3 linked regions of the Mus musculus genome follow. The protein of the gene in region 3 interacts with the protein of the main gene of each other region in a biochemical or structural test. Links are inferred from orthologs where the notes say so. Each region holds a gene or a part of one and is shown on either strand. Other genes may lie near its edges.

Region 1 (9,836 bases), on a different chromosome or scaffold from region 3:
TTAAACTAGCAGCCTCACTCCTAGGATCTTTCTGGGTCAGCATCTGACACACACTTCTTCCTTACCCTCAGCCAGAAGATGCATCTGGAGGCTCCAGTCCTAGTGGGACTTCAAAGTCCGATGCCAACCGGGCAAGCAGTGGGGGAGGTGGAGGAGGCCTCATGGAAGAAATGAACAAGCTGCTGGCTAAGAGGTGAGTACAGTGCCTCCTAGAGGAAGCCACTGTCCTCAGCTGAATGTCATTGCTAAGACACATTTAGGGGGCCTAGAACAGCACCCGCTGCACTTGAGAGACAAGCAAGGGGCTGGAGAGATGGCTCAGCAGTTAAGAGCACTGACTGCTCTTCCAGAAGTCCAAGTTCAATTCCCAGCAACCACATGGTGGCTCACGACCATCTGTAATGAGATCTGATGCCCTCTAATAATGTGTCTAAAGACAGCGACAGTGTACTCACATACATGAAATAAATAAATTACAAAAAAAAAAAAATTAAAAAAAAAGAAGAAAAAGAAACTGAGAGACAAACAAATACAACACAGTCCCAGAGTTTTAGAGCACTGCCTACAGACACCCCACTGCCCCCAACACTGCTTCTGTAGGCAGCGTTAGCCTTCCCAGACCTCCTAAACAGTCTAGGCAGACATGAAGCAGCCTTCACAGAACAGTATGTTAAGGCCTGCAAGAGGAAGAGACGGGTCTCACAGAAGAGGCTCTACCTGTCCTCTGCTTAAAGAAGTGCAGTTCCATGGGCTGAGGGTGGCAGAGGTGCCAGCCGGGCAGTGTTCAAGCACAGGCTGAGAAGCCGGCACATGGAAGAGTGGAGGAGGCCAGCTGGAGAGGAGGCTGAAAGAGTGCCTCACTGCCCAGCTGGATCTCAGAGCTGAATAGGGCTTCAGATAACAGGAGAAAACATTTTAGAAAAGAAAATGTTTGTACCCTCCTTCAATCTAAGACCAGTGAGCTTAACAACTTGGCTTGGATGATGTATCCCAAAACACAGGATCTCTAAAAACAGGAAAAGGTTAGAGTTGCCAGGAGCCAAGCAGACGCCAGGTGCTGGGGGGGTCGGAGGTGGGGTCCAGGCACTAAAAAAGCAAATGTGCCTTGCACAGTCTGCAAGGAACAACCAAGCAAGTCTTTGAAATCTGCTTCATGAGATTAGCAGTCCTGCAGCTTTTTCTCCTGCTTCTCTTCTAGCAGGGCTCCACCTACAGTGGAGAAGTCACAGGTGAGCACCTCCTGAGGGCTGCTGTGCTGGCACAGGCACATACGTGCCTCTCAGGAGGCACTCACCAGTGTAGACTGCAGTGGCTTGGTCTGTATTGTCTGTGTGATGGAACACATGCCCGATCACATGTTAGGCAAATGACTACCTCTGAGTAGTCCGCACAGGCGTCCCTCTGATTTTAAGAGATGGAATGTGGCTTCTGGGCATCAGTGGGCATCATGGGGTAAAGCGACTAGGCAGACCAGTGAAGAAACCTTTGTCACCCAGGAAGAGGTGATGACAGCTGCCGTGGAATAGGCAAAGGTTAAGCTAGGCCAGAGTGGGAAGAAATAGAGAGAGAGAATTGATGAACTTACTGGTCCTAGTCTGTGGGAGGAATAATTTGTCAGAGGCCAGTTTCCACAGGTCAGGGGAAACTGAGGCAGGTGTAGAATCAGTGATTGATCATTCAGCAGACTTTTCTCTGAGGGCGGAAACTTGATTTACTGGAGCCAGTGAGAAACTCTTTGGAGCTGGCAAAAAAAGGAGGAGAAGATTCACACACACACATACACAGACACACATATACACACATACACACACACATAAACACACACTCACACAGACACACATATACACACATACACACACACATAAACACATACAGACACACATACACAGAAATACAAACACATAAACACACACACATACACAGAGATACAAACACACAGACACCACACACATACATATACACACACACACACATATATATATGTATATGTATACATATATATATAACAACTATTTTTTCTTCCACAATTTATATATCCTAACAAAATCTTTCAAATGGTACAAAATGAATCACAATGTGATTACCTTCTATTTTTCATTAAGTGATCCATTACAGTGAGTATTCATAGAAAAACATATTTACCAATACTCTCACATGAATAAACTTTTCTTAGAACAGGTTAAACAGTACAGGTTTAAAACAACAACAACAGATTATTCCCAAGAACCCACATGCATTCATAACTAAGCAACTTGTTATAGATTAACAAAATAAAAGCAAGCAAAATAATTTTCTCAGCCAGTTTCTCTTACTGGCAGGCTGCAATTTGCAGTTACAAAGAAAGAATTATTATTTATCTTTAAAAATAATGATAAAATCTTAAGAGAATCATAAATCTAAACTTTTATGTAAAAAACAGTCATTTTTATTTTAAGTCCCCAGGGTGCATCTACTCATTAACGATTTTTTTCATTAAGTAACATCAGGAAGCTAGGGCAAAGGTGAGTACAAGAAATTAGTCATCACCTTGCTCGCCAGCCCAGCCTCGGGAAGGAAGAGGTGCATCAGCTAGGACCAGTCAGGCTACCATTGTTTCTTGTTCCCTGTCCTCAAAAAAATTCCCTCACTCAACTATTAATAGTTTTACTTTCTGACCTTCAAATTGTTCCCCAAGGCCACTAACAATCTATATCTCTAAATTCCTTCTAAGGGTGGTGGTTGAATCGTTTATCTGCTCCAGTATCGATGCTTGACAAAGCTCCATTATTATTACTGTGAGTGGCAGTGACACTGCCCAGTGAGGCTGGACGCCCCTCAAAGTTTCCTGCACTCATGGACTGTGAGGCAGCCACAGCAGCTGCGCCGAGGCACGGGCACAGCCATCGTGCTTGTGCTAGCTGGCTATGGTGGACCAGTCCATGAGTTCTAAAGCTATTTTGCTGTTCCTCTTTCTTGCCCCATCCTGAGACAGCTTGTGTGAACCCTGCCACAGGCAGCCGGAGACAGGTCCTCAGCACATACAGGCTCACTTCACTCCAGGTGGGCTGCTCACCTCAGGTTATGAGAGGCCTCACAGTTGAAGATGCACTGGAGCACATTGCTGGGAAGTAGAGGCCTGTATCTACACCTGGGAGGAAGCAGATGCAGGTGACATGAGACCTGGATGCACCAATAAAGTTAGAGTCCTGTAGAAGATTCATGCGTAAGAGGAAAATGCAGGAGTTGAGTATAGAAGAGCCCTGCAGCTCTCCTGGGTGCTTTTAGCTCCTTAATGTTTTTCTAGACCGGAAAGGGCGTGGCTAGCTTAACTGAGGTCCAGGACACAAGTGTGGCAAGAGAAAATCTTACCCATTGTGACATGATGCTAGAGCTGAGGTTCTTCAGCTGCAAAAAAAAGCTTCCCACAGCTCTGACTCAAAAGAGACAGACCGGTCCAGGATTCCAGTCCATCTGCAGGCCTTAAGTAACCCTGTCCCCTGGGGGACCTAAACACTACCATGTTTCTCCCTCAGAAACGATGGCCACCACCAGCTCAGTAAGCAAAGAAACACCCCAAGTGCTTACTTCCTGCCCAGACCAGTTTTGAGTGTAGGTCATAGGTGAGTATAGAAAGTCTTAGCCACTAGCCTTAGCTCATGAAAGTAGGGTGCCTAACGAGTGGCCTGTCCACATAAGCCAGCATTCTAAGCTACACACAGTCTGTCAGGGAACCAAGTGTGAGTAGAGGCAGCTCAGAGTTCCCGTCCACGGGGGACCTTGGGAAGCTGATTTGTATTTTTTTTTCTCCCCAACATCTAGGAGAAAGGCAGCCTCCCAGACAGACAAGCCCGCTGACAGAAAGGAAGATGAGAGCCAAACGGTAGGCACCACTCTACCCAGCCGGCCCACACCGTCAGGCCTGCCTCTGGTGTAAGCACATCTCCCGGTGAGGTCACCGGAAGCTGAGTACCTGGTTTAGACACAGCTGTGAGGGAGGGACAGGGATCCCGTCAAGCTTCAGGCCCAGACAGGCTTGCATCTCCTGAGAATTCTTTTGACCAGACCCTTGGAGCCATCATTCAGCAGGGAAAGCAGAAGTAGACAGGAAAGTCCCGGCCAGCAGGAGTGCTTAGAGAATCCCAGGGAACTCAGGACCATTATGCTCCAGCATGCCAGGGCTGCATCAAAGGGACTGGAACCATCTACTGAAGCCTGAAGTCAGAGTGGTCTTATTTCAAGTTACTTATAGTTCTAAACACACCACTTGAGTATCCATCAAGCCCAGTGGGAGCTGTGCTCCCCAGCCATGGCAGGGTTCTGGAACCCTGGACTCTAGTCCCTGGCAGGCATGTGGAGATTGGTCTGTCAGCACAGAGCTCTTAGCCTCAACTTCTATTTATGGTGACCATTTTTTTTTAATGTACACGATAAGCTTTCTTATTTTAAAAAAAAAAAAAAAAAAAAAAAAAAAGAGCCGAGCGTGGTGACACATGCCTTTAAACCCAGCACTTAGGAGGCAGAGGCAGGCGGATTTCTGAGTTCGAGACCAGCCTGGTCTACAAAGTGAGTTCCAGGACAGCCAGGTCTATACAGAGAAACCCTGTCCCGAAAAACCAAAATAATAATAATAATAATTAATGGCATTCTACCGGGATTGCTGAGTAAAAGCCTCTAATACAAACAGCATGAAGGCTGCCTGCCTGGTCTTCCTTACATGCTTAGCCACTGAGGTGGGTCTGGTGCCCCTGGGCTCTAGGCCTCCCTGCCAGTCTGTTCTCCTCATTCAGTCTACACACAAGCCACTTCACTAGGCCTGGGCATGTGTAGTGCTTTGTGCTCACCAGATGGCCTCTCTCAGCCTGTACCTGCTGCATGAGCCTTACTGAGAATGGCCTGCCTCTCAGACCTCAGCTTAGGAAGGTCACCCTCACTCCCCAGCTCTCTGCTTCTGCCATGCCCTTCATACAGACAGGGCTGCCTTGCAGAACTATCTAGGGACCAAAATGGGGTTCTCACCCAACTGCCCTGTGTCTTCGATCCCTGTGGCCTTAAGCCAGATTTGCTGGCCAGTGCCACTGGATATTTACATGGGTGTGTTGGGCCTCGGATTGCAGAGTCAGCACTGGCTTTTCTTAGGTGCCGCAAGTACTCGCTAGCCTCAGCTTCAGAATCCGTCGGGCCATAGAGCCTTAAGGAGTGGCTTTCATTAGTGAGGCTCTGTTGAAACCCTCGTCGGGCCTCATTTTCTCACCTTTTAAAAAAAAAGGGGGGGCAGATCTTCTGTATAAATAAGACCTGGGCAGGGTGCTTTCCTGAGGTCCCTGCTTCACTGTCTCCAGCCTAGTGATGTAAGGATTGTGCTCTTGACTGAGAGACATAGACTGAGCCTATGCCTTGAGGACATGCGGGAAGCAAGCTGGCGCAGAGGTACCCTACCTTGTTGCTAGCAGACTAATGACAGGACCTTCTCTCTCACTTTAGGAAGACCCTAGCACCTCCCCATCCCCAGGTACCCGAGCCACCAGCCAGCCACCTAATTCCTCAGGTAAGAGGGTACCTACCCTACAAGTCTTGAGATCTTAGAGCAAGCAGTCAGCTGATATGGCCACTTCAGTCTATGGATAAGAGCATCAGATCTACTGAATTCCAGGTCCTCAGAGCTTCCACACTTCCCCAGGGAGCCCAAGCAGACAGCTAGGCAGGTGTGGCAAGGGGCCCTTGATCTGGTCCAGCTAAGGGGAAAACACCAACAATTCCATTCACAGTGGACACTCAGCGGTGCTGGGGTTTTAACCATCCAGAGCCTCCACACATTAGTCTAGCAAGCTACCACGCTACTGCTTAGCCACCCCCTGACCAAGAAGCTATTTAATGTCATACTTGGTTTCTCCTGTGTAATGCCAACTAGACTAATGCTACAGTTAGATCACCAATCCACCTTTCTCTACCAGAAGCACAACCCCTGACCCTGCCCCAGTCCCTACAGTCAGCTGTGGCCCCCGGTTTGTGATTAGGACAGTGTTATGAGACTTAGCTAAGGGACAAGACCCAGAAGCTGGCTTCAACTAGCCACACACTCATTGTCAGCTTCGAGCCAAGCCTGGGGCTCATGAATGTGGGAAGTGAAGCAGAGGAGTCAGGTCGCCCACTGAACAGATAGATGCTCTTGTCAGCTTTTGTTCACACCAGTGTGCATGTGTCCAGCCTTCCTGGACTTCCTGGAGTGCTGCTGCCTACATTAGATGGCTTGCTCATTGTCACTGTCCTCATTTCCCTACTGTGGGTTACGGGGATTTCCTATGCTTAGCAGCCTTTGACTACCCACGGCCAAGCATTCTGCTTGAGGCCACACACCTGGAGGATGGCTGTGGTCCAGATCTTGTTTCTATAGGCCCCGTGCACCACACACCTGGAGGATGGCTGTGGTCCAGATCTTGTTTCTATAGGCCCCGTGCACCTGCCAGGTGGCTTTGAGGTAACCTGCCTCAGACCTGCGGTTGCTCTGCAGACAAGGCTCAGCTTAGGGCAGGACAACCCAATGTCCCTTCGCTTGTTCTGCTCAGTTCAGTCTTTCTCCTGTGAATTGAAACATGAATTGTAATCTAGTCCAACAAAGGTTGAGTATTCACAGTCCAAAAATGCAAAATGCTCCAAATTCTAAAACTTGCAGTGAATTTCATATGAACTCTGAATCTGCAATAACCACTGGTTCCAGGCATCCGTATGAGGCGCCCTCAGCCTGTACACTAAACTTAGAAAAGGGAAAGCTACTTCAGGCTCAGGAAGGAAGCAGGCCAGACTCAGTGTGAAGAGACTAGTGGGCAGAGGTTCAGTGGGATCCAGGAAGCCTGGCCACCGGAGATATACCAGGACAAGACCGATGAGAGTGTTGGCTCATATCCCTGCCTGCTCATTTGTAGCTGGAGTTGCCGCTTCCCTACCAGCTGAATCGAGTTCTATGTAGAATACTCAGGTTTCAAGGGAATAGTGGGGAATGCGGTGACAGCAGGCTACCTACAGTTCCTGATGAAAGAGGACTGAGACTCGGGGCCAGGTTGCAGCTCTACTCTTAGCAGCTCCCACTGTGGCTCTGCACCAAAGTCTGATAGACTCCTGCAGAGAGGACTTGGGAGTGGGTGACACTGAATCTTCTCAGCTCTGATCCTTCATGAAATGAATTGGCAGAGGCTGGCAGAAAACCCTGGGAACGGAGCAACTCGGTGGAGAAACCTGTGTCCTCGTTGCTGTCCAGGTGAGCTGTTCTGGGAAGGGCCAAGAGACTGCTCTGCGGGCAGGATCTGGTACCGGTTCACATGTCTCTTTCATTCCATGCCGTAGAACCCCGTCTGTGGCAAAGAGCCCCGAAGCTAAGAGCCCCCTTCAGTCGCAGCCTCACTCTAGGTACCGACAACCCTCCTGCCCATGTGTTGCCCAGGCTCTGCGGTCTCCTCTGTCCCCTGGCTCATGACTAACACCCCCAACCCTGTCTTGTGTCTTAGTATTAACAACTTGCTCTGGGAAGGGTAGTCTGCTCTTTCAGACCTGGAGAGAGGCAAAACTAGAGGCCATCATAGGGGTGTAGGCTGGCTTCCTCTCCTAAGAAGAGAAGGCCCGGGCTCTGCAGAGGCATGACTGACAGAGGAGAGAGAAGCAAACCCAAGCAGTCAGTCCCTGCCACCAGCACCCTGTCCTTTCAGATCGTCTCTGCATGCAGCTCGCATAGTCGGCCTTCTTGAAAGTCAGCTTCTCCTGTCCTTGTTTCCCAAACCAAATGCCAATATAACAGCAGGATAGACCATTGAGAACTCAGCTCACCCAAAAGACAAAGATGGTAACTGAAGCCAAATATGCCTGCATTTGAAGGTCCATGAGCCTGTAGCAGGCAATCTCTCTACTGGCCACCCCAATGGGAGCAAGCAGCTCTTGTCACAGAGCAGGTGACTACAGAAGCCAGGCCTGCAGAGTAAAACAAAGTGGTGAGCAAGAGCTCTAGCCCAGCCCTGACAGGCAGGCCATGGGAGCCAGGCTGCGTGCCAGGGACAGCTGTGGTCCCTAGAAGCTCCAGGCCACATTGAGGGCAATGATGGTCTGCGTGGAAGCTCTAGAGAGGGGTTGGCCATGCCTCTGAGTGAGAGAATGTGCTGCCGAGATTCAGGAAGCAGCCATCAACCGGAAGAGATGGAAGATGGTAGTGCCTTGAACACAGCCACCCAAGCAAAGTTGAAGAACAGGCAGTGTGGCTAGAGGCAGAAAGACTGACCATGAGCACTCAGGCAAGCTGATTTCCCACACGAATGCTCCCTGCAGAACACCTGACACAGAAAAGGAGGGCTGGCAGAGACCTGTGGTCTTCCTCAGAGCTAGTCCTCACTGCCGTGGCTTCTCAGAGAATGCTCCCACCTCCTCAGTGTCCTTCCCTGGACAGACACATGGCCAAGGCCTCTCTTCAAGAATGAAATTTCGCCGGGCAGTGGTGGCGTTCGTCTTTAATCCCAGCAATTGAGAGGCAGAGGCAGGCGGATTTCTGAGTTCGAGGCCAGCCTAGTCTACAGAGTGAGTTCCAGGACAGCCAGGGCTATACAGAGAAACCCTGTCTCAAAAAAAAAAAAAAAAAAAAGAATGAAATCTCTTTGCAGCTTCAGGCAAAATCTGATCTCCAGTGTTTTTGTTATGATTCATTTCCACCCTCTCCTTTCTCTCTTGCTATCTTTTTAATTTTTTAAAATTCACTTTACATCCAGATCACAGCCCCACTCCCTCTCTCTTCCCAGTTCCACCCTTACAAACTCCTCCCCTCATTGCCCCTTCCCCTTCTCCTCAGAGAAGGAAGCCCCCCTCCCACCTTGGTAGCATCCCACCTTGGGCATCTAGTCCCAGCACTGGTCTCTAGTTTTACTGAAAATGTACAGTAACCACTTGCTCACAGCATACATGCTGCTCATGATGGCTGCTGTGTGGACGAGGGACAGCTGAGGCATAGAGAGTAAGCTAGATGATTCAGGTCCCCAGCAGTCACTGCTGAGATGGCACCTGCAGCCCATTGGGAGGACCTGAAGCTTGGGTGTGTTTGCCTGTCAGGACCCAGAATTCCCGGTAGACCTGTTCAGCACCATAACTGACTTCATTTTCAGCCTCTTCTCCCAAACTTTGGAGATCAGTGGCCCTCACTCTCCTAATATCACCCCTTATACAGCAAGTTGTCCCCATAAATGGACATTGAAATTCCATCATATCCCACATGCTTCCACCTCCTCAGTGTCCTTCCCTGGGCAGACACATGGCCAAGGCCTCTCTCCAAGAATGAAATCCCTTACCTGATTCCAGCCTCATCCCTTTCCCTGGAGCCACAGGCTTCAGAGCTCTTCTCTCCACATGGACAGAGGATTGGGTCCAGACTCTGTCTGCTGTCAGCACCCCACCATGTCCTGAAAGACCCCCGAGCTAGATTCACATTGTGGCTAGTGAGTATCTGGGAGAGTGCCTGTGCACAAGGCATTGACGTTCAGATCAATGATGTCAGTCCAGAGCTTGTTCAAAGTATAACCAATAAGAAGGAGCAAAGCACATCCTTGAATGCTTCAGGAAGAGCAGAAGTAAGGGAGCCACTTCCTGCCCAGGGAGTGCTAGCTGAAGTGCTACCCCAGCATGGAGATAACTACAGTTTCATCAATTCTGGTTGATTTCACCAACCAGAGTTCAGCTAGGAACACGAGCTCCTGGTGGCAGAAGACATGATTAGTACCACCCCTCCTCAGTGAGGCAGGAGGCACAGACGCAGTCTGGCTCAGTTGCCTACTCTGCATAAGGCCTTTCAAGCCAGAAGACTGTTCCTGTATGACCCCATGTCCTGACTTAGA
Region 2 (9,828 bases), on a different chromosome or scaffold from region 3:
GGTCTGGTCAGTCTGGATCAGCTTGGGGCACAGGTTAGAGCCCTTGGATCTGCCATTGGCTCCACCCACACCGGAAACATCCCCTTCTGTCTAAAACAAATGGTCTGGTTAGATCGGAGGCTACTGTAGTGTGACAGGGTCTTGGTCAAATGTGTCCCAGGGATGGAACTCGGGCCCTGGGTTCTCACCTCTACCTTTCAAGCCCATCTGATAGGTGGTCTCTCTCACTCCGGCAGGCTCCGAGTACCAGGTGCTATACATCGCGGATGACAACGAGATCCGCAGCTTGTTCCCGGGCCACCCCCACTCAGCCTACGAGCAGACATTCCAGGGCGATGAGAGTGTCCGCATAGATGCCATGGATGTCCATGTCAAGGCCGGCCGTGTCTACTGGACTAACTGGCACACGGGCACAATCTCCTACAGGAGCCTGCCCCCTGCCGCCCCTCCTACCACTTCCAACCGCCACCGGAGGCAGATCGACCGGGGTGTCACCCACCTCAATGTAAGCATCCAGCCTGTCAGAGATGGGGTGGAAGAGCTCCGCAGGACAGAGTGTAGGGGCTGAGAGGGCAGAAAACTAGAAGACAGGAGTGGTCAGGTCAGCCTGCTAGGCACAGCTAACAGCCAGAGCAATAAGTAGTATTTGGGGCTGGAGAGATTGCTCAGTGGTTAGGAACAATAACTGCTCTTCCAAAGGTCCTGAGTTCAATTTCCAGCAACCACGTGGTGGCTCACAACCATCTGCAATGGGATACGATGCCCTCTGGCACTCAGCAGCATAGCCTACTCTGATACCTCTGAGTCAGTACTGGCCAACTTGCTTAATGCGTGGGCTTTACTTTATTGACAAAATGAATAATAGCTCTCCTGGGCTTAAGTAGAGTTCAGAGGTGGAATGTGTGAAACCCTAGGCTTGATCCTCAGCAACAATGAAGATATAATAATACCTAGTCTTCTAAGCTTCTTTATAGATCTGGCTGCTTGGGTTTTTTTGTTTTGTTTTTTTTGTTGTTGTTGTTGTTTTGTTTTGTTTTGTGCTAAATTTGAACTAAAGACTTCATGGATGCTAGCCAACTGCTTTAGCAATGAACTACACTCCCAGCTTCAGACTGCTTTTTTTTTGTTTTTTTTTTTAATACATTGAGTGTGTGTGTGTGTGTGTGTGTGTGTGTGTGTGTGTGTGTGTGTGTGAATCACATGTACATACCACGGCACACATGTAGAAGTCAGAGGACAACTTGAAGTTTGTTCTTTGTTCCTACCAGGAGTCCCAGGGATTGGAACTTAGGTCCTCAAGCTTGGCAGCAAGCACCTTTACCCACTGAGCCACTTCACTGCCCCCACCACTTTTTAAAAGTGAGAATTAACTAGAAAACCATGAAAATGTGCCTGGCATGGTGGCGCATGCCTGTAACTCCAGCTGTATTCATAGCAGAGGAAGGAAGAGCAAGAGAAAAGGGTCAGTCTAGGCTACACAGTGAGTTCCAGATCAGCCTGGGCTATGAGAGAGACCTATTCAAAAGCAAAAGAACCTAGAAACTGTGGTCACGTCAGTGTGGGGTGACAGACAAGAACAGGTGGGCAGACCAAGGAGAATGGGGGTGACAATCAGGGAGACAGAAGATGGCAGTCGCTGAACATATGACCCCACTTAGATTTCAGGGCTGAAGATGCCGAGGGGTATCGCTATCGACTGGGTGGCCGGGAATGTGTACTGGACCGATTCCGGCCGAGACGTGATTGAGGTGGCGCAAATGAAGGGCGAGAACCGCAAGACGCTCATCTCGGGCATGATTGATGAGCCCCATGCCATCGTGGTGGACCCTCTGAGGGGGTGGGCACGGGTCCTGGGGGGGAGGTATCTGGGCTGGTGTCCCTCAAGACAGGTGGTAGGCTCGACATCCACAGGCAGGGGGCAGAGACCTCAGGCTGCTAGGCTTCTCCAGTCCTGGCCCTCCTAAAGCCTCTGTCGGGGACTCCCAGTTGAATAGCTTTACTGGCAGCCAAGATCTGGGACCCCCTGCAGGCATAGCCCTGCCCATTCAGATGCTATTGGCTTAGCACATTGTAGTTAGAGCAGATGATGCTAGCATGGGTCGGCAGCTGTCTCCTGGGGCTCATTGAAGGGGACAGGGTGTTTCCTCACAATACCCAGGAGCGTCCACACCAGGCCAGGTGCCCTCTCTTCCATCTCACTCTGTCTCCTTGGCCCTGGGATCCAACCCACTCTCATTTCTCCCTTCCCAGCACCATGTACTGGTCAGACTGGGGGAACCACCCCAAGATTGAAACAGCAGCGATGGATGGCACCCTTCGGGAGACTCTCGTGCAAGACAACATTCAGTGGCCTACAGGTCCCTGGGGCAGGGGTAGGGTGTGGAAGGGGCAGACTCTGATCATGGCTGCTTCAGAAGTCACCCCTGCGTGCAGTGGGGCGGGCAATCTCCAGCAGATCAGGCCGAGGGCCATGGGAGTGCTTCCCGGATGGGCGGCTGGGAGAGATCCTATGAGCCGGGTAGGATACATGCCGTGGATACCAGACAGAGTCAGCTCTGTTCTCTGCGCCCAGCCTGGCGTGACAGAAGCTGATCTCTGACAGACAGCATTCTCTCACCCCAGGGCTGGCTGTGGACTATCACAATGAACGGCTCTACTGGGCAGATGCCAAGCTTTCGGTCATCGGCAGCATCCGGCTCAACGGCACTGACCCCATTGTGGCTGCTGACAGCAAACGAGGTGAGGGTGCTGGCAGGCTTGGTTCCCATCATGGTCCCCAACATCATCATCAGGCTTCTCACTGAGCTCAAGGATGTCTCTTCAGAAGCCTGGCACCCAGCCAGCCCGTGAGCCTGCGCCTACCTGACCATTTTATTCACTCTACCAACAAGTATCAAGTTGTGTGGGGTCAGCAGGGTAAATGAAGGGAGAGAGAGCTAAAGTCCCCCATGGCCCCAGAAATCTTGGGGGTGATGAGACAATTTGCCAGTGGCAGGGATAGTTCTAGATATGTTAGGTCTGAGACGCCTACACTGACAGGTGTCTTAAAGACTGGGTCCAGGGCCCAGGCGCCTGTAGTGACTTAACCTGGCTGTCCCTGCACCCCAGGCCTAAGTCACCCCTTCAGCATCGATGTGTTTGAAGACTACATCTACGGAGTCACTTACATCAATAATCGTGTCTTCAAGATCCACAAGTTTGGACACAGCCCCTTGATCAACCTAACTGGGGGCCTGAGCCATGCCTCTGATGTAGTCCTTTACCATCAACACAAGCAGCCTGAAGGTGCATCAGAGGGAAAACCCGGGGTGTGGCAGGGTGGGTCAGTGATAAGGAGGGTGCCGGGCAGTGGTGGCGCATGCCTTTAATCCCAGCACTTGGAAGGCAGAGGCAGGCAGATTTCTGAGTTTGAGGCCAGCCTGGTCTACAGAGTGAGTTCCAAGGCAGACAGGGCTACACAGAGAAACCATGTCTCTGGAAAAAAAAAAAAAAAAAGGAAAATGTTCTAAGTCCACACTGCTCAACATCGACCCCTTCCAACACCCACAGTGACCAACCCCTGTGACCGCAAGAAATGTGAATGGCTGTGTCTGCTGAGCCCCAGCGGGCCTGTCTGCACCTGTCCCAATGGAAAGAGGCTGGATAATGGCACCTGTGTGCCTGTGCCCTCTCCAACACCCCCTCCAGATGGTATGCATGCCCTTTTCCTGGGTACCTGAGGATCCCTTACCTATAGCCTCTGGCTCCCCTTACCCTTGACCCCCTTCCCCTTCCCATGCTCTGATGAGCTCTTACTGCAGCCCCTAGGCCTGGAACCTGCACTCTGCAGTGCTTCAATGGTGGTAGTTGTTTCCTCAATGCTCGGAGGCAGCCCAAGTGCCGTTGCCAGCCCCGTTACACAGGCGATAAGTGTGAGCTGGATCAGTGCTGGGAATACTGTCACAACGGAGGCACCTGTGCGGCTTCCCCATCTGGTATGCCCCCAACCAGGGATGGTCCTCTCCCATCATCCTCACCTGGCCCCTTCTATCGCCTCCAGCATCCACTTCAACCCCATCTGTTCGTCAAGGTGCCTAGGATCCCTGCTATAGGCCCAGGTGGTCCCCAGTGCCATGGTCCCACTCACAGATCCTCTCCCACCAGGCATGCCCACGTGCCGCTGTCCCACTGGCTTCACGGGCCCCAAATGCACCGCACAGGTGTGTGCAGGCTACTGCTCTAACAACAGCACCTGCACCGTCAACCAGGGCAACCAGCCCCAGTGCCGATGTCTACCTGGCTTCCTGGGCGACCGTTGCCAGTACCGTGAGTATTCACCTCAACCCCAGGGAAGGAAGAGGGGAGCCAGAAAGAACCCAAAGGAGCAGGTTGAGAGGATGGAAGACGTACGCAGATGAGCCAAGCCCAGGCTGTGGGTGCTGCCTCTCATGTTGGCGCATCTGCCTAAGCCTCCAGGCATTCAACACAAGGAATGCTTAGGGTCATCCTAGTGTTCTGGGGTCTGTGACAGGGCATTAGGAGGCTCAGGAGTGGGTGGGAGTTATTCATAAGTCCTGGACCCTGCATAAGGTACTTCCTCTCCACTCCCAACCACAGGGCAGTGCTCTGGCTTCTGTGAGAACTTTGGCACCTGTCAGATGGCTGCTGATGGCTCCCGACAATGTCGCTGCACCGTCTACTTTGAGGGACCAAGGTGTGAGGTGAACAAGTGTAGTCGCTGTCTCCAAGGCGCCTGTGTGGTCAATAAGCAGACCGGAGATGTCACATGCAAGTGAGTGGGGGGTCTTGCCTCCACATTCTGCTCTGTCTTCTGGCCCCGCCCCATCCTGCCCCTCCTGGGCCCGCCCCCTCTCCGGGCCCTTCCGGCCCCGCCCCTATCTTGCCCCTCCTGGCCCGGTTCCTGTTCTAGCATCCCAGATACCCTTCTGCAAGCCCCAGCTCCAGATTTTGATTCCTTTCCACAGCTGCACTGATGGCCGGGTAGCCCCCAGTTGTCTGACCTGCATCGATCACTGTAGCAATGGTGGCTCCTGCACCATGAACAGCAAGATGATGCCTGAGTGCCAGTGAGTTGGCCCCGCCCCATCAAATCTGAGCAAAGGAACAATATGACCTATGACCTCCTAGTTCCTGCAGCTAAAATGGTCGTGGAGGTGATGCCCACCCACTGAGTTTTGCTTTCTTGCCTGCAGGTGCCCGCCCCATATGACAGGACCCCGGTGCGAGGAGCAGGTTGTTAGTCAGCAACAGCCTGGGCGTAAGTGGTGGGGAGGGCAGGGCTGCCACGACATAGAGCAAGAAGAGCCTTACACCTCCCATCTCCCTAGGCTTCAGACTCAGTTTCCCGACTTCTCTCTCCAGATATGGCCTCCATCCTGATCCCTCTGCTGCTGCTTCTCCTGCTGCTTCTGGTGGCTGGCGTGGTGTTCTGGTATAAGCGGCGAGTCCGAGGGTGAGCCACTGGGAGTCTGAGAAATTCTGGCTGTTATTTTACAATCCGATAACCTTACCAACATCACGGTTCCCTGACTCCTGCCTCTCCCCAGGGCTAAGGGCTTCCAGCACCAGCGGATGACCAATGGGGCCATGAATGTGGAAATTGGAAACCCTACCTACAAGATGTATGAAGGTGGAGAGCCCGATGATGTCGGGGGCCTACTGGATGCTGATTTTGCCCTTGACCCTGACAAGGTATGCCAGAGGCCATCGAAGGGGCTTCTGGAACAGGATCAAAGGCCGGAGGGGTGGGGTTGGGGTGATCAAGGCAACCAGAGGTGTTACACAGAAGTGGGAGCTGGGGTATTCTAATCATATGAACCTTTTTTTTTCCCAGCCTACCAACTTCACCAACCCAGTGTATGCCACGCTCTACATGGGGGGCCACGGCAGCCGCCATTCCCTGGCCAGCACGGACGAGAAGCGAGAACTGCTGGGCCGGGGACCTGAAGACGAGATAGGAGATCCCTTGGCATAGGGCCCTGCCCCGACGGATGTCCCCAGAAAGCCCCCTGCCACATGAGTCTTTCAATGAACCCCCTCCCCAGCCGGCCCTTCTCCGGCCCTGCCGGGTGTACAAATGTAAAAATGAAGGAATTACTTTTTATATGTGAGCGAGCAAGCGAGCAAGCACAGTATTATCTCTTTGCATTTCCTTCCTGCCTGCTCCTCAGTATCCCCCCCATGCTGCCTTGAGGGGGCGGGGAGGGCTTTGTGGCTCAAAGGTATGAAGGAGTCCACATGTTCCCTACCGAGCATACCCCTGGAAGCTGGCGGCACGGCCTCCCCACCACGCCTGTGCAAGACACTCAACGGGGCTCCGTGTCCCAGCTTTCCTTTCCTTGGCTCTCTGGGGTTAGTTCAGGGGAGGTGGAGTCCTCTGCTGACCCTGTCTGGAAGATTTGGCTCTAGCTGAGGAAGGAGTCTTTTAGTTGAGGGAAGTCACCCCAAACCCCAGCTCCCACTTTCAGGGGCACCTCTCAGATGGCCATGCTCAGTATCCCTTCCAGACAGGCCCTCCCCTCTCTAGCGCCCCCTCTGTGGCTCCTAGGGCTGAACACATTCTTTGGTAACTGTCCCCCAAGCCTCCCATCCCCCTGAGGGCCAGGAAGAGTCGGGGCACACCAAGGAAGGGCAAGCGGGCAGCCCCATTTTGGGGACGTGAACGTTTTAATAATTTTTGCTGAATTCCTTTACAACTAAATAACACAGATATTGTTATAAATAAAATTGTAAAAAAGGAAAAAAAAAAGAAAAGAAAAGAAAAGAAACCCACTGTGTCTGCATGCTAATGTGAGAATTTGGGAGCTGGGGCTGTGCTTGCCTGTTCCAGCCACCAGAGGGAGCATTGCTGCATGCTGGAGGCTGGCCTGAGAATCCTAAGGTCCACGTCTCCAGCCCCACTCCATCCTCCTGTCTTGCTATGGCAGGGAAGAGCTGTTTTGCTCAGTGTATGACCTTGAGCCTTATGATGTGACTGGTAGGATCTGGTGTCACCCGGCCCCAGTGCATTGACTCAGACATGTGCTTCACTGTTCTCCTGCCCTACACTGGCCCCACAGTGAGATGCCACCCTAGAAAAAAGCACACTGGGTAATGAAGGCCTTTAGGAAGGTCTGCTCCATGCTCCTTTTGAAATGTTGACATCTCACTCTATGACCTATGAGTAAAACCCTGGCTGTTGGGCCAGCAGAATGGCTGGGTGGGCAAAACACTTGACTTTGCAAGCCTGGTAGCCTGCGTTTGCTCTTGGAACCCATGTAAGAGTGGGCAAGACCACCGGGCAGTGGTGGCGAACGCCTTTAATCCCTGCACTTAGGAGGCAGAGGCAGGCGGATTTCTGAGTTCCAGGACAGCCAGAGCTACACAGAGAAACCCTGTCTCGAAAAACAACAACAACAACAGCAAAAAAAAAAAAAAAAAAAAAAAAAAAAAATGGGCAGGACCAGCTCCGTAAAATTATTCTCTGACCTCCATATGTACGCTTTGGCAAACACAGAATTTTTTTTTTTAATTAAATACCTGCATTAGGGGATGAGATAGAGGGGAGGAGAGCCAGCAAGGCTCAGTTTGCCCATCAGCTTCCGACATATGCCTCTCTCTCAACAAACATTGCAGACATTCCAGGAGTTGACCAGGAAAGGACTTACACTATCTTAGTTGTTCCAGATCTCCTTGAACCTCTTTCAAAGGGGAATGAACCCCTTGCGGAAGACTATGCAGCTTTACACTGTCCAGGACTGGGGGAGGGTTAGAACCCTGCTCTTCTAACAGCAGCAAACAATGCCTCCCAAAGGAGCTGTCCAGCTTTTCATCTCTGACCCTCCCAGGGTATTTCTCCTTTGAATCCTCCCCTCGGGGAAGCTTATGGGTAGATGAACATCCAAAGACAAGACCCTCCTTTTCTATCATCAATTTTATCTCCAACCTCATCCCTGAAGCCCGGCTATGAGATCTTCCTTGCTCCTCCAGACTCCTTATGACTCTGGGATGAGCGATCCTGCTGGGAATAAAATGGGGGTGGGGGTGGGGGTTGGGGGGGGGTCATTGTTGATCCTTAAATGTTGACTTGTGGCTCTTTCTGGCCACCAGGTGGCGTCTACACTGCTGTAACACTGCTTATCCTAAAGCTCCCCACACTAATTATGCACCTGCTGCCGAGGACCCTAGCCCAGCCTCTCACTTCCTTCCCTGGGGCTATTTTGCGCTGACCCTTCTACCCTCTGTCAGCCATCTTCCTTCCCTCCCCCAGAGTCTGCTCATTCCCCACCACCAGTAATCCCACCCTCTCCACCCCTTCCTTCTGCCAGCCTGCATCTGTAGCCCCCCCCCCCCCCGGAGCCACTGATTCTCTGCCTGTCACCTCAAGATCTCGGGTAGAACAAGACAGGCCCCCAACTGCTGCTTTAGAAAGCCTACCCCTTCGTTAGCACCCTCCCTCTCTGGCCAGGACCAGAAGGGTGCACTATCTTCAACCAAGCCAAATGCAAGGGAGTCTCAAAAACCAAAAAGGACACTGACTGATTCAGATCAGATTGAAAAGCAGATATTCTTAGATGGAAAGAGTCAGGGACAGAGGCAAAGACCCAGAGATAAGTACTGTGCACATGTGTGTATGTGTGCATGCACTTGTAATCTCTGAGAGAATTGGACGGCCTGAGATTAGCTAAAACGATGGTGATGGGGAGGGTCAGGTCTCCTACAGATAGATACTTTGGCCGTGGGCTTCTAGGCACCCAGGATGTGTGACCACCCTTTGCCTTCACCCAGAACTAAAGCAGCTCCTTTGCTTAGGGTCAGCCCTGGCCAGCCATTTGGCCTTGTCCCTGACACTTTGTCTCATCCTGCCTTTATTCGTTCAGCCCTGACTGCACCCCAAATCGCTGCTCCCTGGTTTTTGTCTCCTTGAGTGTCACCAAGTACACCCCTGTCCTTTCCCTGACCCTCTTTTCAGTGTCTGTCACTTCCTGTGTGTCTGTTATTTTCATATCCCTAGGCTTGTCTTTCAGATTGCCTGTGTGTGTGTGTGTGTGTGTGTGTGTGTGTGTGTGTGTGTGTCCCTGTGGGTATTTGCCTCTGTCAAGGCAAGAGGTACTTTGGGTACCTAGCTGTTTCTGTATATCACTGTATGCTACTGTGTGTATAAATCATGTGTGTCCGTCTCTGTGTGCTTATGTGCCTCTGTGTATGCTGGTCTGTATGTGAAGTGGCCTCACTGCTACAGTGTAGCAGGGTACTATTACAGTGGGGTAAGACTGGAGACACACCTTGGGATGTGTGTCTGTCTCTTCATCTCTTTGCATGGTCCTATCTCTTGCTGTCTAGGTGTTGGTCATACTACCTACTCAGCCTCAGACACAGCGCATAGCAACAGCTGACAGCTGAAGACTCCCTGGGTAGGGGAGAGAGAGAAAGACCAGTGGGAGGAGGAAACACGAAGAAACAGCCCTGAGGATGAGAACAGAGACCGTGCTGGAGCTGGGGACAGAGAGAGACAAGGACAGAGATAGACAGGGAAGGGGACGGGATGAGAAGAGCTGAGAGTGGAAGATGGGATTGTGGGAGAGAAAGCACAGGGCTCGTACCAAGAGGGGCAGAAGGCACTGAGGACTTCCTGCCTAGCACCAAACAAGGGTGCTCTGGATCAGGCCAGGGTCAACAGTGCGGATCAGGGGCTAACTTAAAAGAGCCGGTTTAGCCAAGGGGTCCGGGGGCCGCAGAGGTGCCGCGGGGCGGGGACAGGGCGGCGGGCGCCGTTTGTCAGCCCTATTGACAGACGTGATGGGGTTTCCGTCCGTGATCAATGATTCTCATCTCCAGGCCGAATGAGCC
Region 3 (9,836 bases):
TCGGATCCTGAAAGAGAATGAGATAGGATGGTAGGAATGAGAAACATGAACGAATGTATTAGTTTGAGAGGCTTCTGGGACAGCTAGATGGAGTTGTTGGGTAGGGAGTTGAAAGTTCATGTCTGGAGTTCCGATGAGGGAACTTCAAGTTTGGAAATCATCGTTGTATAGATGGTAACTGGGTCTGGGGGCATGAATGAATACTTCTACCGAACACAGGCCAAGGAAGAGAAAAGGGTATAAGTCAACGCTGTGGGAAACCCAGCCTCTAATGGCTGGGAGGAAGATGAGCCAGCAAGGAAGTCTTAACAAGCAGGCAAACAAAACAAAACCCCAAACAAACGGGTAGCCAGATTCATGGAAAGAAATCCAGGAATGTAGATCATGGAAGCTATGAATGCACACTGGACAAGGGGCTCCTGAGGCTAAATTCTGCTGAAAGTACACATGCTGGCCAGACATCTATTAAATGCCAGGGGGGCCATCTGGACCTTAGTAGATGCTGTTACCAAGTCTTACTGAGAATGGAAGCAGAGTTAAAAAAGCCAAAAGGGAAGAGAGGAAATGGCTGTAGTGAGTGTGGAGAGAAAGAGGCCCTAAGGAGCTTAAGGGAAGGTCAGGCCAAGAAACACTTTGCTCTTACATCTAAGTAGTAGGCGAAACACTTGGTTTTAGACAAAAAGAGAAAGAACAGATTCATCCCGTTTGGGGTTTGAGGATGTTCCCCAATTAGTGACTTCCCTTTCTTCCAGGAATTGGAAAGGAAATTGAGAGACTGGGAGAATTGAGGGGTGGTCCAGGAGATTGATGTGCAAGCAGGCTTCGCTCCTAGAGCTGCAGAAAGCCAAGGGTCTAGTCATGTGGTATTCTTTCTCTATCACAGTAACTGATTTATTCCACCAATGAAAAGTGCCTTTTGGTGGGCAGGTGCGATGATGTCAGCAGACGAAGATGCTTAGTATCAAACCTGATGACCTGAGTTCAGTCTTCAGGCCCCACGTGGTGGAGAGAGAACAGACTCTCTTCAGTTGTTCTCACACTTGTGCTATAGTGAAGGTGTGCCCCCACACAAAATAATAAATGTAAATAAAAAATAAATGTAAATAAAATGTAAATTAAAAAAAAAAGAAGAAAGTACTTATAGATACTAGGAATTGTCCTAGAGATTGGTGTCCTACTATACAGTAAGGAGTTGTGCAGTGACTCCCAAGAGTATGACTTCCTCCAGGGGAGGAACCATTTTCTATTGTTGATACCCTTGACCATGTTTAGTGCAGTGCCTGGCATCTTGTAGGCTGTCAGGTTGGAAGACTCCTGGCTTTGGACAGGACTCAGCTCATTGACCTATGGTGTGATGTTAGCCTTTTCAGGCTTTGTGGGTTCCTCCTTAGTCTCTACCCAAGGCCCGACTTAGCTTCGTGCTGTACATTTATCTTTGTGGAGGAGAGGGGTGTAGGTATGCAGGAGCCACAGTGAAGATATAAAGGTATGGAGGTCAAAAGACAATTTATGGAGTTCATTTTTGCCTTCCACCGTGTGGTTCCTGAGGATTGAGCTCGGTCATCTGGCTTTTTGGCAAGATCACTCATGTTATGAACCATGTTGGCACCTTTTTATCCTCTGAGATGTCCCAAGTATAGATAACCCCAGTGAGAGAGGAGAGATTGGATTATTCTTTTTTCAAGAAACTATGTACCTGGTTATCTTTTTGGCTTCAAAAAGTCAGGGTGGTGGCCACATTGCCTCAGGCTAGACGGCTATGTCTCGGCACTTGCAACAAACTTACCCAATCTAATCTAAAATTGCCTTCTTCTCTGGTGTCCTGATGGTCAGGGCTGCCCTAAAGTCAACCTGGCTCTTCACGCACCCAGTGACACAGAACCTGTGTTCTCTTCAGGTACATTTCCTAGTGTTATGAAAGCCAGTCCCAGCCTGACTTAGAAACATGGCTTTTCTCCACCATTGCCTCAGAGAGTTCATCATTCCTGATATCCTGTGAGCTGTCAGAGGCATGGGGTCTCTGTGAGATGCTGCCATTGAACAGTCAGTGAGCCAGGACTTCGGGTTTCATTCTTTTTCTCCCTCTTTTCACAGACCGGAGCCTTACCTGGCCAGGCTCTGTCCCATCTTCCCGGTCAGGCCCCCTTCATCATTCTCTAGCTCCTTCCTTAAGACCACCTTCATCCACTCTAGCCTAAGGTGACAGGACAAGCTTCCTGGGTATCTGTTCCCAGCCAGTGCCAAGCTCCCAGGTACCTAGTTCTCCAGTGTCTGCCCCCATCATCCGTCCTATCCTTCTTTACAGTGGCCACTCTGGCAGACACACAACATGTTCCCCTTTATGCCGATATTGTAATACTGAGTCAGACAGAGTTTCATATTTTCTGATAGCATGTGACGCTAGGTGTTATGGAGCACAGACAAGGGAGTGGTCATTGGAGGGTAAAGAAAGTCCAGGGAAGATTGCTTAGGAGCCCTGAGAGCTGAGGGAAGGTTTGAAATACAAGGAGGAGGTTCTTACAAGAAGGGGTGGATTCCAGGCTGAGGGAACAATGTAAACAAAGACTTAGGCTTTGTTTGATGTGTTCCAGAACCTCCCATACTTCATGTGGCTGAGTATAAGGTGTGAGAGGGAGGGAGGGATGGCTTGAGAGGTGCTAGGTTTGGCTGCAGTGGCCTCTCAGGTATCCTGTAAACTGAGCTCAGCCTTTATCCTAAAGGCAGTGGTGAGCCCTTTAATTTTGTCAAGCGGGGAGTGACACAATCTGGTTTCCATTTTTGGAAAATCACTGTGGTTCTGGGTGGAGACCGAACTGCCTATTTTTTCCCCTTCGTTTATTCCAGTGACCATGAGTTTCCTCACAGCCCAGGTGGAACCACCCTGATCAGATCAGCAGTTAGTTAAACATGAAGGTGAAGCAGACACATGGACAGAAACCTTATTTCATTTATTTTATACAACTATTCAGAGCATTGTGCTAGATTCCCAGGTGCTAGAAATGGTAAAAATGCAGATAGTGGCTTCTGTCTCAGGATCCCTGGCTAAGCCTGAAGAAATGGGAGAGAGCCTCGCTTGGGCACCCTATAACATCTGCACTTACTCTGCATTGGGGCACACTGAGGCAGTGGAGAGTCAGAGTCAGACACCTCAGCTAGAGAATAAGGAGTGGGGGGCATTGAGTAAGATGTTAAAGGGAAGAGCTGCACAGGGGGGGTCAGAAAGTAAGACCTGCAACTGCTGGGTTGTTGGGGACTTGTGTGCAGAGGAAGGGTTCAGTAGAAAGAGGGAACTTTGAGGGAAACCATTGGGAGGGAGAGTGACAACAGGGCTTGACTGAGGGAGGGTTTGCAGTGAGAGTTGAGAGTGAGTGGGAGGTGGATGGTGGGGAAAGAACTAGTGTTGGGGGGTTCCAAGGAGAGCAGGGTTCATAGAGTTCCAGAATAGGCAGGGACAGAGAAAAGGACAGATTGGCCTTGAGGGAAGGTCTGGGGAGGGGGTCCCTTGAGGGAGGATAGGTCATACTCAGAGCCTGGTGGGAACTGGTGAGGAAGACTACTGAGAAATGGATGACATTGTTAACCAAGAGGTCCCCTTTCACATGTAGACTGGGAAGAGTGTGTTTGAGGTACCAAGAGCTACTGCTGAGACAGACAGATCCAAAGCATGAAATGAAGTGTTTTCTGAGAAGAGTCTAAAATGGAGTCTGGGGAGATGTGAGGGTAGGTTTGTATACTTACTCAATGAATGGTAATTTCTGGGCTCCTGCTTCTTGCTCTGTACCAGGACATTGCTAGAAGCTGGGAGTATTTTATTGAAAATAATAACAACAATAGTAATGCAGAATTTTCAGCAACATAGAACTTAGCCAGGAGTAGATCAGTAAACAAATACAAAAGCTAAATTAGCATGGTAGATGATGATCCATGCCTGGGAAGAATGGGTTACTGAGTTGGGGAAAGGTAGCCTACAGTTTAAAAGTGGATGTGTAGGAAAAGTCTTCCTCATAGTGATCCTTGGACAATGACCTGAAAGGCTAGAGTCTCCTGAGGTGACCATGCCATAACCAGGTGACCAGCCCTTGACCAGGGCTGGCAGGGGAGCCTGGTACCCTAGGTGAGATATTTCACAGACACTGTCTATAGTCAGGAGAGCCAAGAGCTGGAGCTGAAGGCCCTTCCTCTGTGACCTGCTGTCTTTCATGATGTCTGCTGACAGGACACATCCATCATTCCTGTCTGACTAGTCCCCAGTGTAGAGTGGGCTTAGAGATGACTGTATTAGTGACTTATAATGAAGGGAACACAGCCCAGGGGGCTGGCAACGATGAGGCTCCAGATAGCACTGTGGCAGTCGGTGTTTAGTATCCAAACCACTGAAGGCTGTGCTGTGCTGTGCTGTGCTGTCTGTGTCCCTGGCACAGTGAGCCCCAGTTGGTCAAGTGGGGCGTGGGGATGCACAGAGCGCCATTGTGCAGACATCCTGCTTTTGGTAGTAAAGAGAAAGCAGGCACCACTGGGCTACTCAGAACACAAGGGAAAAGGCTGGGTTGCAGAGCTGGGCCTGGCTTGTGGTGGGGATGGGGCTGTAGGGACAGGTGTCTGGTGGGAATGTAGTTCATGGCACATGGATTGGTGTTTGCTGGCTTACTGAGTTACAAGAAGATGAGGAACAGGACCTAAGTCTGGGGCAGCAACAGGAACACTCAACATGGTCTCTCCTCCCTGTCTCACAGGATCTACCAAGGCCATGTCTGTTCCATCATCCCTGAGCCAGTCGGCCATTAACGCTAACAGCCACGGAGGCCCTGCACTCAGCTTCCCCTTACCCCTGCACGCTGCCCATAACCAGCTGCTCAACGCCAAGCTGCAAGCCACAGCTGTGGTACCCAAGGACCTTCGAAGTGCTATGGGAGAGGGTAGTGTGCCTGAACCAGGCCCTGCCAATGCCAAGTGGTTAAAGGAAGGCCAGAACCAGCTTCGGAGGGCTGCCACAGCCCACCGAGACCAGAACCGAAATGTGACCTTGACCTTGGCGGAGGAGGCCAGCCAGGAGGCTGAGACGGCACCTTTGGGTCCCAAAGGCTTAATGCATCTATACTCTGAGCTGGAGCTCTCGGCCCACAATGCAGCCAACCGAGGGCTTCATGGATCCGCCTTGATCATCAACACCCAGGAACAGGGACCAGATGAAGGAGAGGAGAAGGCAGCAGGAGAGGCTGAGGAGGATGATGAAGACGAAGAGGAGGAGGAGGAGGAGGAGGACTTGTCTTCTCCTCCAGGGCTACCTGAGCCTCTGGAGAATGTGGAAGTCCCCTCTGGGCCCCAGGCCCTCACAGACGGCCCCCGGGAACACAGCAAGAGTGCTAGCCTCCTATTTGGCATGCGAAACAGTGCAGCCAGTGATGAGGACTCAAGCTGGGCCACCTTATCACAGGGCAGCCCCTCCTATGGCTCCCCGGAGGACACAGGTACCTTGTGGAGCTAGATGTGGCAATATGGGAGGGCATGGGGTCAGAAGTCTGGCTTCTCCGTGCAGAGGCCAAGGCCAGCCTGAGCATGAGCTGCAGAGCCTATACCCTCAGTCCAACATTCTCTCAGTCAGGGGGTGCTTGGACAGTTTGATACATCCATGTCCATCATGCATGCCATGAAGGCTGACTCTATTCATCATGTGTGCTGCCGTGGTTGATGTGTAGCGTCACTGGTTTATTGAGTGCTTACTGAGAAACTGACCCTCTGCTAAGCATTATGGCATTCAGTAATTAGAGCAATGTCTCTTAGAAAGACATACTCTTTCTAAGGCCAAATTACAAATGATGAGAAAGAGGCCCAGGCAAGTTTAGTGGCTTCCTGAGGGTCACAGACAGTCCCAGCTCATGATCAACTAAGATCGAAAGCAGAGCTGAGTCTAGACCTGCGTGAGTGCTGAGCCCTGTGTTACGCAGTCACCAGTGCACATGGCCTCTTTTAGCAGTCACATCTACGTCCAGAGGGAGCACCCAGCATCTTCCCACAGATGTCTGTCTGCAAAGTGTGGGGGTTGGCTTCTACTTATGAACCACATGCCGCATGCAGAGTGCCGTGCCGGCCATTGCAAGGATGCCATGTTGCCGGGAATGAGATGCTGGCTAAAAGTTAGGGGACAGAGAAGTACACTGATGCTTCCTCCTGGGGAGATACTAGAGAACAAAGAGTGATCAACTGATCACTCAATGTGACCTGTTTAATAAAGTTGAAGTTCTGTATTTGGTAATGTTATAGAGAGTAAAGATTTCTCTATTGTAGCTACAGCTACAGCCCAGAAGATCTGAGGGTGGGGATATAAGAAAAGCTGCAGTTGAGGGGTGATATAAGTTAATGCTAGATAATGTGCTTAGCATGCATGACCCGGGTTCTATGCCTGGAAGAGAGATGGGAGGCAGAGATAAGGACTTTCACTTCTAAGGTACTAATAGTACCTATACCCTACAAATGGTTCCTGGTAGGGGACATACATTTCAGATACCTGAGAGCTCCACCCATCGCTTTGTTGAAAAGCCTAACTGAATGTTTTCAAGCACATACAGAAGTGGAGGCAACACAGTAATGAGCCTGACTTATTCATCACTCAGTTTCAGTAATCATCAATGCACAGTGACCTCGGTGGGTCAATGTCTTATCTACTTCTGAACCCCATCTAGGATATATATACACATATATTATACATATGTTTTATATATATATTATATTTTTTTTCTCTGTGTAACCTAGATGGACCCTACACTTGCCTTGTCTCTACCAAACTGTCCTGGGGCTGGCTATAGGCATGAGCCACTATGCCCACATACCCAGCCTTGTTTTGCTTATATAGAAACAAAAATTGTGATTCCTTCCTATCATCAGATGTCCACTTAATGTTAACATTCTCCACATTGTGTGGTAAATGTCCCACTTAGCCTTTTGAAAAGAGGAGAACTATATGGATTGATATTCAGATGAGCCACAATGGTTATGCTTTTGTTTTGTTTTGTTTGAAATGCATGCTCATGCATGGGCAGATTAGAGGATGACTTTCAGGAGCTGATTCTCTGCTTCTAACATGTGGGTTCAGGAGACTGAACTCAGGTCACTAGACTTGGCAGCAAGCACCTTTACCTGAAGAGCTCTCTTGCTGACCCCTTCCTTCCTCCCCTCCCCTCCCCTCCCCTCCTATCCCCTCCCTTGCCCGCCTGCCCTCCCTCCCTCCCTCCCTCCCTCCCTCCCTCCCTCCCTCCCTCCCTCCCTCCCTCCCTCCGTCCCTCCTTTCTTTCTTTCTTTCTTTCTTTCTTTCTTTCTTTCTTTCTTTCTTTCTTTCTTTCTTTCTTTCTTTCTCCCTTTCTTTCATTTTGGTTATTAAATCTTGTCATTTTGGCTAACCTAGATCTCACAGTGCACTATGTAGACCAAGTTGACTTCAAACTGGTCCCTTGCCTCTCTCTTCTGAGTGCTGGGATTATAGACATGAGCCATAACACCTGGCTTTAAATTTTTTAAAATGTATATAAGTTCTCCCTTTATTTATCTATTGATTGTGTGCACACACATTTCTGTCCTGAGTTTTCTATGATGTGAATTTTTAAGCCTTTCTCCCTAAGTGTTTTTGAATATATTCCTCTTCTAGATTTCTTGTAATAGATAATTAGATAAATGTAGTAGATAATTCTAGAGCCTTTACCAGATTCAGGTTTGAGTGGCATTTGTTTTGTTTCTTTGAGAACACCTCATAGGTGGTACCTTACCAACGGTAATTATTTCTCTTTGTGTCATGTTAGTGGCTTCTGATGGCCAATGTCCCCATCCTTTGTAAAGGGAACATCTGTTTTACTCAAGCTGGTTCTTTATTAGATTGAGTTTGGAGAAAAAAATGTACAAACTGAAAGTTAGATTCTGATGTAAACTATCTCAGTTTCTGGATGCTAACACTCAGCAACTAATTTCTGTCTTTTCAAGAGCTCTGTGCAGGACATATGTGTATCTTAGAGCCTTGTAGCACTGCAGGTTACAGCTTGCAACCCTGGACAGGGGGCTCACTGGCCAAACAGGGGCTTGGTTGCTTAGTGGCTCCTGAAGTCATCGCTGATAGCTATGTTCTGGTCCTTTGAGGTGGGAGGGTAGCAGAACAGAAGAACTAAGGGTGTGCTGGGTATGGCCAGTGATCTCAGGGAGGCCATGGGAGGGGTGAGAGGAGACTCAGCAAAGTAGTCCTGGTGGATTCTAGGAGTTGTTGGATGCAGGCGTTAGGCCAGTCCCAAGGGGAGGAATGTTCTTGTCTGTGTTGCTTCTGCCATGAGAACTGCAGGTGGTGGGTTTCTGCTCAGTAGAAATGGGGTAGGATGGAACCGAAGTTGGTTTTCTCCCCATTTTAGGATCTCCACGAAGCAGTTGTTGACTGAATGAACTGTGTGAATTAAGTGATTTTTGTGAATGAATGATGAATGAATGAACGTCATTACCTATGTTGGAGTTACACTCTGAGCAAGGCCTTGTCCTGGACGCTGAGAATGTGTAAGAAAGGCCAAAGATGTTCTTACCCTTTCGGTACTCACAGTGGGGAAACAGAAATAGACTCACAATCAGTGATGATAAGTGGGTTGGTAGAGGATCATTAGGAGGGTACCCTGCCTGAGAGAGTCTGGAGGAGAGGGTCGGTCATGAGAGTTCCCTTTGTGCTTGTCTGAAGGTGGAGTGAACCCAATCTGGGGAATTGTCAGAGGCAAGGCTGAGAGGCAGAAAGCTAGGGGCTCTTAGCAGCACATAAAACCTGTGGAGGGGTCTGGATTTTGTCCTGAAGGTAATGAGAAAGCAGTTAAGAGCATTAAGCTGGAGAGTAACCTGATTAGTTTGGCGTCTCCTAAGAATCATTCAGGCTACAGTGTGCAGCCTGTAGTGGAGACAGAAGGAAATCAGTTGAGAGGCTTCTGCCGTAATCCAGATTAAAGCATGCTGGTCGCCTGGTCTGTAGTAATGATGTGGTGCAGGGGGGAGGGGAGGAGAGAGAGAGAGCATCAGCAAAGTAGTTTGCCTGCCTAAGCCACTAAGGCATTCATGGATGAATGAAGAAAGGGCCATGGGGATATTTGGATTCACGTGAGTGCCTGCAGGAGAGTGTACGGTTGTGTTATTAGTGCGTGTGTATGGAAGCAGAGGCCCCGGGTGGGCTGTGCTTGGAGAGAGATGTGCCAAGCTCCAGAAGGGCCTCCCAGATGGTCAGGGGGGTGAGGAGCTGCCCCCTCCAGGACAGATCGGAAGGACGAAGCTTTTTGAAGCAGGAAAGCACAGGCTGACAGAAATGGCAGATGGATCAGTGTGTGTGTGTGTGTGTGTGTGTGTGTGTGTGTGTGTGTGTGCTTGACTCAGTCAGGGGAAACAGTGAACTGGCCCCCAGATTCCAGAAATGCCTGACCGACCATGAGGCAGGCTATGGAGGGCAAGGGCCCTTGGGGTTAGTGTTCCTGGAAGGTTTTAGCGGCAAAGTCCTGAGGGGATCTGGGGGAAAACACATGATTGCTGAGCCTCAGTAGAGTCAGATAGTAGAGGGTGGAGACACAGTGATGGCTGCCTAGCAGGTAGATGGGCAAAAAGAGCTCCTTTTCATTGGGTGCCTGTGGGCTTACCTCATTTGCAGGCTGAGGATGGAGAAGCTCCTTGTCGAATAACTCATGCTAGGTGGGGAAACACCTTGGCATAGGCAGACCTACTCCCAGCCCCTCTGTGCCTTTAGTACCCAGCAGCCTGGATCTTGAGACTGCCTGTCCCTCAGTGCTGCCTCTTGGACCAGTCAGGATTCCTGGTTTCCTTGGTAACGGGAAGCACGTCAG

What was found.
Region 1: the proteins of Apbb1 (region 3) and Evl form a complex in vitro, tested with the Homo sapiens proteins (2 studies listed by BioGRID). The link is inferred for Mus musculus from reciprocal best matches to the Homo sapiens genes APBB1 and EVL.
Region 2: the proteins of Apbb1 (region 3) and Lrp1 form a complex in vitro, tested with the Homo sapiens proteins (2 studies listed by BioGRID and IntAct, with this or other methods). The link is inferred for Mus musculus from reciprocal best matches to the Homo sapiens genes APBB1 and LRP1.

The regions. Positions count from the first base shown.
Region 1 is NC_000078.6:108,676,031-108,685,866, forward strand, and holds part of Evl (ena/VASP-like protein), read left to right. Parts: intron 1-71; coding exon 72-193; intron 194-2,069; exon of another isoform or gene 2,070-3,127; intron 3,128-3,798; coding exon 3,799-3,859; intron 3,860-5,460; coding exon 5,461-5,524; intron 5,525-5,540; exon of another isoform or gene 5,541-7,151; intron 7,152-7,164; coding exon 7,165-7,231; intron 7,232-7,317; coding exon of another isoform or gene 7,318-7,380; intron 7,381-9,836. UniProt on the Homo sapiens protein: Ena/VASP proteins are actin-associated proteins involved in a range of processes dependent on cytoskeleton remodeling and cell polarity such as axon guidance and lamellipodial and filopodial dynamics in migrating cells.
Region 2 is NC_000076.6:127,535,096-127,544,923, reverse strand, and holds the end of Lrp1 (prolow-density lipoprotein receptor-related protein 1 precursor), read left to right. Parts: intron 1-236; coding exon 237-505; intron 506-1,658; coding exon 1,659-1,837; intron 1,838-2,250; coding exon 2,251-2,357; intron 2,358-2,622; coding exon 2,623-2,739; intron 2,740-3,108; coding exon 3,109-3,285; intron 3,286-3,549; coding exon 3,550-3,690; intron 3,691-3,800; coding exon 3,801-3,974; intron 3,975-4,143; coding exon 4,144-4,305; intron 4,306-4,596; coding exon 4,597-4,771; intron 4,772-4,964; coding exon 4,965-5,066; intron 5,067-5,192; coding exon 5,193-5,257; intron 5,258-5,361; coding exon 5,362-5,452; intron 5,453-5,546; coding exon 5,547-5,691; intron 5,692-5,833; coding exon 5,834-5,974; 3' UTR 5,975-6,767; downstream 6,768-9,828. UniProt on the Homo sapiens protein: Endocytic receptor involved in endocytosis and in phagocytosis of apoptotic cells. Required for early embryonic development. Involved in cellular lipid homeostasis.
Region 3 is NC_000073.6:105,569,314-105,579,149, reverse strand, and holds part of Apbb1 (amyloid-beta A4 precursor protein-binding family B member 1), read left to right. Parts: intron 1-3,610; exon of another isoform or gene 3,611-3,720; intron 3,721-4,733; 5' UTR 4,734-4,747; coding exon 4,748-5,468; intron 5,469-9,831; exon of another isoform or gene 9,832-9,836. UniProt on the Homo sapiens protein: Transcription coregulator that can have both coactivator and corepressor functions. Adapter protein that forms a transcriptionally active complex with the gamma-secretase-derived amyloid precursor protein (APP) intracellular domain.